2 linked regions of the Bombyx mori genome follow. The protein of the gene in region 2 purifies or fractionates together with the protein of the main gene of each other region. This does not show direct contact. Links are inferred from orthologs where the notes say so. Each region holds a gene or a part of one and is shown on either strand. Other genes may lie near its edges. The genes, in order: histone deacetylase 6 and mitochondrial import inner membrane translocase subunit TIM50-C.

Region 1 (3,830 bases), on a different chromosome or scaffold from region 2:
ATTTGTTTGTTTGTTTGTAATGAACAGGCTCTGAAACTACTGAACCGGTTTGAAAAAATCTTTCACTGTTTGGAAGCTACATTATTCCCGAGTGACATAGGCTGTAATCTTTTTTGAAAAAAATTAGGGACCTTTACTAAAACTCCAACAATGAAACCCAAGGTGTAAAAAAATGGTGCACGTGCAGCTTGGTGCACGTGAAAGAAGTGACACTTCTTTTGCGGTGTACTTTGATTTTCTTAATTTTTCATCCTTAAATAAATTTTTCTTGTAATAGAGAATGCTGTGTATAAGAGAAACGATCTAGCCCGTTTTGTCCTATTGCCTCTTCACGGTCAAATGGTTCGCGAGGCGCTTTGTCTATTTTCTCACTCTCGCTCTTTCTAAATCGTATCTTTTCTCTCTATCCGCAACGAATCTGTCGCGAGTTACATTTTACTCCCAACGCGCCTAAAGAAGTTTCACTTCAAAACAAAATTATATTTAGTTTAAGTGTACTTTCAAAAACAAGATTCAATATGAACACCCCGGACGGCCAGCGCCTGTTCTCAATTAAATCTCAATTCAAAAATTGTCCTCATTCCGTTGATTTTAATTTGCATAATAGAAATTTAAGTACCAAACCTTTTGGAAAACAGCAATTTAAAGCATTAATTTTCCGAAACTCATGCTTAAAGATAACTGAGGCGTCATTTCAATTCCAATTGGCAGTTTATAAGCATTGTTAATGGCATGGATGACAATTCATAAATCACAGAGAGAGAGTTTAAAATCGAACCTTTTCATCTCCTAAGGCCGAATCGTAACCAGCCGAAACTATTACAAGTTGGGGCGCGAACTGAAATAGATCAACAACATGCGTAATCAGATCATTGTACCTCGGGACATCCGATGGCCGCGTCGTATCCTGCAGATACTATGATCAACTCCGGCTGGTACTGTATGATTGAGAGAAAATTTTATTTAAAAAAAAAACATATCACACATTGTCGTTATAGGCGAGGTAAAACCTTCCGCGACGGGTGAGGTCCTCGACCTTCGCGTCAGCTGATTGTTAGGTCACTTTGAGTGTGGTGACATTCGGAACCTTTGAGTACCGATAAGTTCAAGTATTATGAAAGTCAACTTGAAAGAATCTATGACCTCACCCGGCTCATGCAGCAGTTAGCCACGGTCAATACCCTAGTCAGATGGATTCTGGACACTGTCAGTGCTATTGGACGCCATTAGTTCTACCACTAGCAACAGCTTTGCCATAGGTCAAAGTCGTTGGAAAAGTTCAACGTGAAACCTAAAACATTTTTTTATTGCCCTTGTAGGCAGACGAGCATATGGCCCACCTGATGGTGAGTAGTTGCCGTCGCCCATGGACGTCAGCAATGCCAGGGGCAGAGCGAACCTGCAGCCTACTGTAAAGTACTCTCTACAAGCCTAGTTTGAAGAAGGACATGTCATAGCGCTGACATAACCCATTAGATTTCTGATATGTCTGAGTAAAGGCAACTCAGGAGAGGGTCGGTGCGATGGACACTTAACTAACCTCGTAGGCCATGGGCAGAAGCAGCTGGTGCCAGATGGCCAAATAGTCTCCGTCTTTCATCCCGGTTTTGTTGAGGGGCACATTGAAATTGTATCCTTTACCGGCGCCGCTGCCGACGTAGTGGAAGTCGGACTGTCGCAGCTGGGGCCAGAACGAGCCGTGCTCGTAGCGGTGTATCGAGAAGTATACCACTCTGGAATCGTCCCAGTGGATTAACGATACGATGTATTTTTCGTCAAGAAATTAATAAAACTAGTGGTCCCGCAGTAGTCGAAATTCGACTATAATTAATTAAAATCATAAGTTTGTATATTATTATGGTTCTATCATCAAATACTATTTTACTTCTATAATCACTGATTTCGCCAATACTACACTCTAAGCAAATAATATTAAAGACAAACAATATTATAAACTTATTTTCAATTTGAACACAGACTTTATGCAATAACAAATAACAAAAGTTTGACAATGACTCTACATAGGTGTGTGTGTCAAATACATGGTAGTGTGTGTAATGTTTTTTTATTGATTTAATGTATTAATAATGCATAATTTAAAAAAAAAATTGCTTTCTGCACTCCTTCTCTATATTCTCTATAAGTGTGGGAAATTCTATACTCCTCCGTCCGCGCAATTTTCGTAAAAAGGGATACAAAGCTTTTGCTTCACGTATTAATTAATAAAATCTATTGTCAAATGCTATCGCTGACGTTCTTGTGAGAAACAGATTTTCGAACTTTCCGTGTTCACCAAAAAGCCCATGTCACACTCGGTAAATTTCCCGCCATTTCATTAGGTATATTTTAATGTTAATAAATAAAATTGAATTTTACTCTCGATTCCGGCATACCAAAAGTAAAAATCTAAATCTCAAACGAACATGATTTTTGGATATTTTTGGGCTTTATTTAAAACTTAACTCCACTGTGGCTAAAATGCCATTTGCCACGCTGAAAAAAGAAATAAAAATGGCTTAATAAGACTAAGTAAGTGTATACCTGGGATCGTCGTAGAACATCTGCTGTGTGGCTTGTCCGTGGTGAACGTCCCAGTCCACGATCAGTATCCTATTAAATCGTTATTTTTTTAACTTTCAATAATTTTAATTTTTTCAGCCCTAGAACTTTTTTTTTATATAAGAAAATGGCTCCAAAGCCTTAGAGTTTGTCGATGCTACAGTATATACAAAAATTACAGTAGTTCAGAGAAAAAAATATTAATTAAAATTAGATAGACCGCCCTTCAAACCGAAACGCATTACTGCTTCACGGCAGAAATAGGCAGGGTGGTGGTACCTACCCGTGCGGACTCACAAGAGGTCCTACCACCAGTAGTACTGTGCACTTCACATAATCTTCAACTACCCCCATACCGTGTCGAGTCTGTAAGCCTCACTGACCTTTGCAGACCCCTTTTGTCCAAGGCGTGCTTGGCGGCCAAAGCGACGTTGTTGTAGAAGCAGTAGCCGCAGGGCTCCGAGTGCATGGCGTGGTGTCCCGGCGGCCGCACGAAGGCCGCGCCGTTCTGGACTTCACCCGACACGATGCTGTCCACCATGTCGATGGTCGAGCCGGCCGATATCAGCGCCAACTCGTGCGTGCTCTGTACCACAGACACAGAAGCGGTAAGCTAATTGATATCGGGCTTTGAATCATAGATGCGGAAGTGCCAAATCGGCCCCGCCGAGCTTTTGTTTCAACTTCTAAGGCCTTCAAATATTTGTGGTGAGTATAAGCATACTGGCAAACGCCAAGTAACATCAATTACACATATTTCATCATTAAAAGACGGACACGGAAGAGAGAAGTTTTAATATACAATCTAATTTACATTTTGTTTTCACAAAGTTAAATGTTTGGTTTAAGCGAAATTTTCGCAACATTACACTCAAAATATCATAACAAAAAAACACTTCTTCAGCTATTTCAATGGAGTAAACTTAATTGAAGTTCAATTAAAAACATCGAACTCATGATGCAAATACCAAATAAAACGTACCTTTAATTATAAATATAAATGTCGCGTATTAAGCGAACTGTCATAGCCTTTCACCCATGGATATGTAAATACAACATAGCTATACATGTTGGAGTATTTCTACTTTGGGGTAGCGACATGGTAAGCGGGCGGTCTAGAAATGTTAACTCGGAGCGTATATTACGCAGGAGCGTTCCGTCTGATACGGCGACTCGCTCGCTTCTGAGCTCGAGAGACAACAACGGAGCGTATAATGCTATAAAAATAGCAAGGTATCGTGGTGGGACGATGTTGTTTACGACTCTTATCT
Region 2 (4,599 bases):
CTCTACAAAGCTCAGTCAAAACCAACTTCATTGTGTATGAGTTTACTTGGAAACAAAATTAACTACGAATTAATCATAGATCATATAATTTGGTGACCATTCACCATAAGATGCACTTTAAACTCAACCTCCGTGGATCATAAAGTAACCTATTTGTGTGATTGGATCATCAACAATACTGCTGCCAAAAAAAGGCCATCATCGACCACAAAATACGAGGTCAACATCTCAATTGTCTGTCCTCAAACCGGACCGCGTGATTGCTTCGCTGTAAGAATAGGCAGCACAGTCGTAGCCGTGGTGGCAAATGTCGGTCAGTTGGCTCAGTGCGGCGCAGTAGTACTCAGAGAACGTTGCCGTCCATTCTCCTTGGAATCTTCACTTCTTTTGACACCCACGAGAACAGAGAGTGAGGTGCTGCTCTAGGCCAACACCAAAAGCAATGAATAATGTATTCTTTACCAAAATTAATGATTAAAGAATCATTTTAAATAAATTAAGACCCCCTTTAATTAATTCTTAAAGTATTGTTGTTGTCCATGCCATGTTCATGGCAGGGATAGTACTGACCTCCAGCCCGTTTGGTAAGACCAATCAGGATGCACCAGGACATCTGTGAATTCTAAGACTAGAGTGTATGTAGGCTGGTACGGTGGAGGCAAAGGGTCTGGAAGTAATTTCTCTCTTGATGGCTCCTTTATCATCTATAATAACAAAATATTCTGTTTCTATGAGTTTTACAATATCTCCAATCCCATATTCCTTAGAATGTAACAATATAAAATCTAAACCTCAACCATAGGCCAATAGTGGCCTCTTTGAATTCCAATTAAAACTGCATAATATGATCTGTGATAGGATATTAGGCAAATATTTTTGCACTAAAAACGTTTTTAGTGCAAAAGAATTTTATAATGTTCTGGTGTTATTTTAACTATCATCATTTTAATATTTGACTACCAATTGTTTCAAATTAAGTGCTCAAATTAAATGCATATATCAATAATGCATAAATAAAATTATTTTTATTACCTTTTCATAAAATGTGAGTTCTTTCCAGGAACGTCTCAGGTATTGAAAGACAATGGGAAGATGTGAAAATTCATCCTCTATTATTTGACCCTCATCATCCCGTCGGGGTGAGCCCATCTCTATGACAAGGCAGGTCGCTGCTACTGTGAGACCACCACCAAAAACTGCAAAACTAAACATTTAACATTATTTTTATTTTATTCTGTTTCACTTTAAATTCCAAAGTTGATTGGAAGCTTTGTTTTTATTTATGTATAGGAAATATATACAGAGGGGTAAAAGGTTATTTGGTCTAAGCGACATTATGCTTAATACGCGACCTTTATCTTTGTAATTAAAGGTACATTTTATTTGGTATTAGTATTAACAGTTCAATGTTTTTAATAGAACTTTAATTCAGTTTACTCTATTCAAATAGCTGAAGATATTTATTCATATTTTTTCCAAGTTTTAAGCTTTACATGGCTCTCCTGTAAAGTTACAAAAATGTTGCTTAAATCTAATAACATTTCCCCCCTCTATATGTACTGTTATTGATACTTACATACATACACAGGACAGACTAAGAGGTACATTTCTGAGTCAAAGAGCATGTTGCAAGTGCAAAAATAATCAGTCAATGGCATTGAAATAACTTTCATTGAGACTATGTTTAGTACCTATAGACTATATCGAGAAGCCATAGTTGATGCATATCTAGCTCCTCTTATTGTGAAGATGAAAATTAAAGTCAGTAAAATATCAGATCTCAAGATACCTTTCTATACTATTCTAATTTCTTTGTCCTAAAAAACATTAAATATTTTTATAAATAGTTAGACGGTAGGTATGTTTGTATGTATTAGTGAAATGTTAATAAATAACGCCTAATAATACACCACATAAATATAAAACACCCTTCATTTTTCGTTATATATCTGAAGAGCTGGTTGAAAATTAAGAAATAATAAAATAAGAGATAAACTGCATCTTATTCAAGTGGTTCAAATAAGTTTAGGAGCTTGTGAAGAATTTGGTGTTAACTACATTACCCTAATTTCATTCTTCTCCAACTTTTTTCATTTTCTTCAGTTTTCTCTTTGTTTTCTTGCTCAAAACGTTCTTGTTCTTTTTTAATCTGCTGTGCATCAACCTGTGTCTGTGGGGCTTGCGGGAAGAACCTCCCTAAGATATCTACTTTTTCAGGTTTATCATCTTTACTTCTATCATCTGTAAATTTGTATTAACAATAAGAAAGCATTTTATTTATCAAAGTTATATTATTACTTATTTATTTTCAAAGTACATATTATAAGGCAATGTAGAATTCTATTTGTTTTATAGGTGACAGAAGCTGAATAAATATAAAACGGATTTTGACAAACATGTAATGCTTTTGTAAATAGCTAAAAAAACATTTTCTACACTGATTTGACTTGTGTAGTATTGTCAACAAAGCTATGATGTTAGTGGGTTCAATTTAATAATGACGTAAAATTGTTCATCCAACATATTTGTTTATTGTAAATACATGAAAAAATCAATGTAATAAAAAGTCGTACTGAATTTATGAACTATGGGAAATGAAAACTAACCTAAATTTTGATTTGAATAAAATTTTGGCGAATTCGCTGCTATTATCCAAATGTTTTGTCTTGAGTGGCATTTTGTCTCTAGCTTTAAAGATTTACAACACGCGGTTTTTGTCAGAAATAATAATTTCCTGAAATACATTTCAATGTAATAAAAAAATCCGCATTGAGAAACTTCACTAACACACAACCGAGCAAATAAAACTAAACAGTAGATTAGTGTATAATCTATGCAGCAGATCACATCACACTACTCAAGGAGACTTTTTGGCGGGAACACGAGGAGTGAAGTTGTGTGATTTGTTTTATTTTGTCTATTTAGTGTTTCTTCGGGTTTAAATGTGTAATAATGGTGGTTTATTAACTGTTTAATATCTGTGAAAGTGCACAAATGTGGGAAAATGAAACAAAGCCGCTGGACGTAACTTCTCGGGATCCTCCAAAAAGTCCACTGAAAAAATCTTAGTAAATGACCACCATTTTACTGAGATTATATTTCATCTCATATCATCTCATTTATTTCATCCCAGTTGATTAATATCTCAAATTAATCATCTTCATTTCATTTCACACTATGATATCATTTTTCATAAAAATATGAATATACATTAAAATAAGACATGACTTAAAGATCTCAGTTACCAGGTCATCAAATCCCTTAAAAAAACATTACTCAAGGACTTTTTGGCGGGTACGCGAGGAGTGAAGTTGTGTGATTTGTTTTATTTTGTTTATTTAGTGTTTCTTCAGGTTTAAATGTGTAATAACGTTGGTTTATTAACTATTTTATATCTGTAAAAGTGCACAAATGTGGGAAAATGAAACGAAGCCGCTGGACGTAACTTCTCGGGATCCTCCCAAAAATTCCACTGAAAAAATCTCAGTAAATGACCACCATTTTGCTGAGATTATACTTCATCTCATGTCATTTCATTTCGTTTTCATTTCACTTCATGCTGTTTCAACTTCATTTCATTTCAAAATATCATTTTCATATAAAAAAGTTACGTATCATTAAAATTAAAATAAGACTTGGCCTAAAAGTCTTAGTTACCAGGTCATAAAATCCCTTAAAAAAAAAACATTACTCTAAGAGACTTTTTGGCGGGAACGCGAGGAGTGAAGTTGTGTGATTTGTTTTATTTTGTCTATTTAGTGTTTCTTGAGGTTTAAATGTGTAATAACGGTGGCTTATTAAGTGTTTAATATCTGTGAAAGTGCAGAAATGTGGGAAAATGAAACAAAGCCGCTGGACGTAGCTTCTCGAGATCCTCCAAAAAGTCCACTGAAAAAAAAAATGTGAGCCGTCACGGGACGCCTGGCAGATGTGAAACTTCGACATTATGTTGTAAAAGTAATATGCAGAAAAGAACAGATTGTGACAGGAACTAAATATGTCATAATGATAAAATAAAATGTTACGAAAAAATAATTTGTTTTCAAGTAAAACACAGGTTATGTGTACTGTAGTAAACAAAAAATGACACTGTATACACTACAGAGTATACACTATAGGTATCCGAGCTCAGTGTAGCGAGAGAGATGGCTTAACGCCGGATCGAGTGGGAGAGAATCGCACAGTCGATTGCGCATGGCGACGTGTCGCCACACCATACACACTACTGCATATAGACACTATATATATATCATCATATAGCGTGGCGACGCGTCGCTACGGCATGCGTCGCCACGCCAGCAATCGGTTTTACGTGCGGCTATAGATGTTTCACAACAAAAATGTCAGTAAATGACTACCATTTTACTGAAATTACATTTCATTCCATATCATCTCATCTCATTTCATTTAATTTCATTCCAGTTGATTAACGTCTCAAATTAATCATCTTCATTCCATTTCATATTATTATCATTTTTCATAAAAATAAGAATATGAATTAAAATAAGACATGACTTAAAAGTCCTAGTTACCAGATCATAAAATCCTTTAAAAAAAACTACTTTGCAATTTGCAGTTTGCACTATATATTAAGTGTAT

Evidence for each region.
Region 1: the proteins of mitochondrial import inner membrane translocase subunit TIM50-C (region 2) and histone deacetylase 6 purify together in Homo sapiens (affinity purification with mass spectrometry; 3 studies listed by BioGRID and IntAct, counting the BioPlex papers as one, with this or other methods). This does not show direct contact. The link is inferred for Bombyx mori from reciprocal best matches to the Homo sapiens genes TIMM50 and HDAC6.

What each region holds. Positions count from the first base shown.
Region 1 is NC_085111.1:17,643,076-17,646,905, reverse strand, and holds part of histone deacetylase 6, read right to left. Parts: intron 3,146-3,830; coding exon 2,943-3,145; intron 2,611-2,942; coding exon 2,542-2,610; intron 1,734-2,541; coding exon 1,541-1,733; intron 939-1,540; coding exon of another isoform or gene 879-938; intron 839-878; coding exon 779-838; intron 1-778.
Region 2 is NC_085127.1:1,724,995-1,729,593, reverse strand, and holds the start of mitochondrial import inner membrane translocase subunit TIM50-C, read right to left. Parts: upstream 2,886-4,599; 5' UTR 2,746-2,885; coding exon 2,607-2,745; intron 2,242-2,606; coding exon 2,064-2,241; intron 1,205-2,063; coding exon 1,033-1,204; intron 705-1,032; coding exon 571-704; intron 1-570. UniProt on the Homo sapiens protein: Essential component of the TIM23 complex, a complex that mediates the translocation of transit peptide-containing proteins across the mitochondrial inner membrane. Has some phosphatase activity in vitro; however such activity may not be relevant in vivo.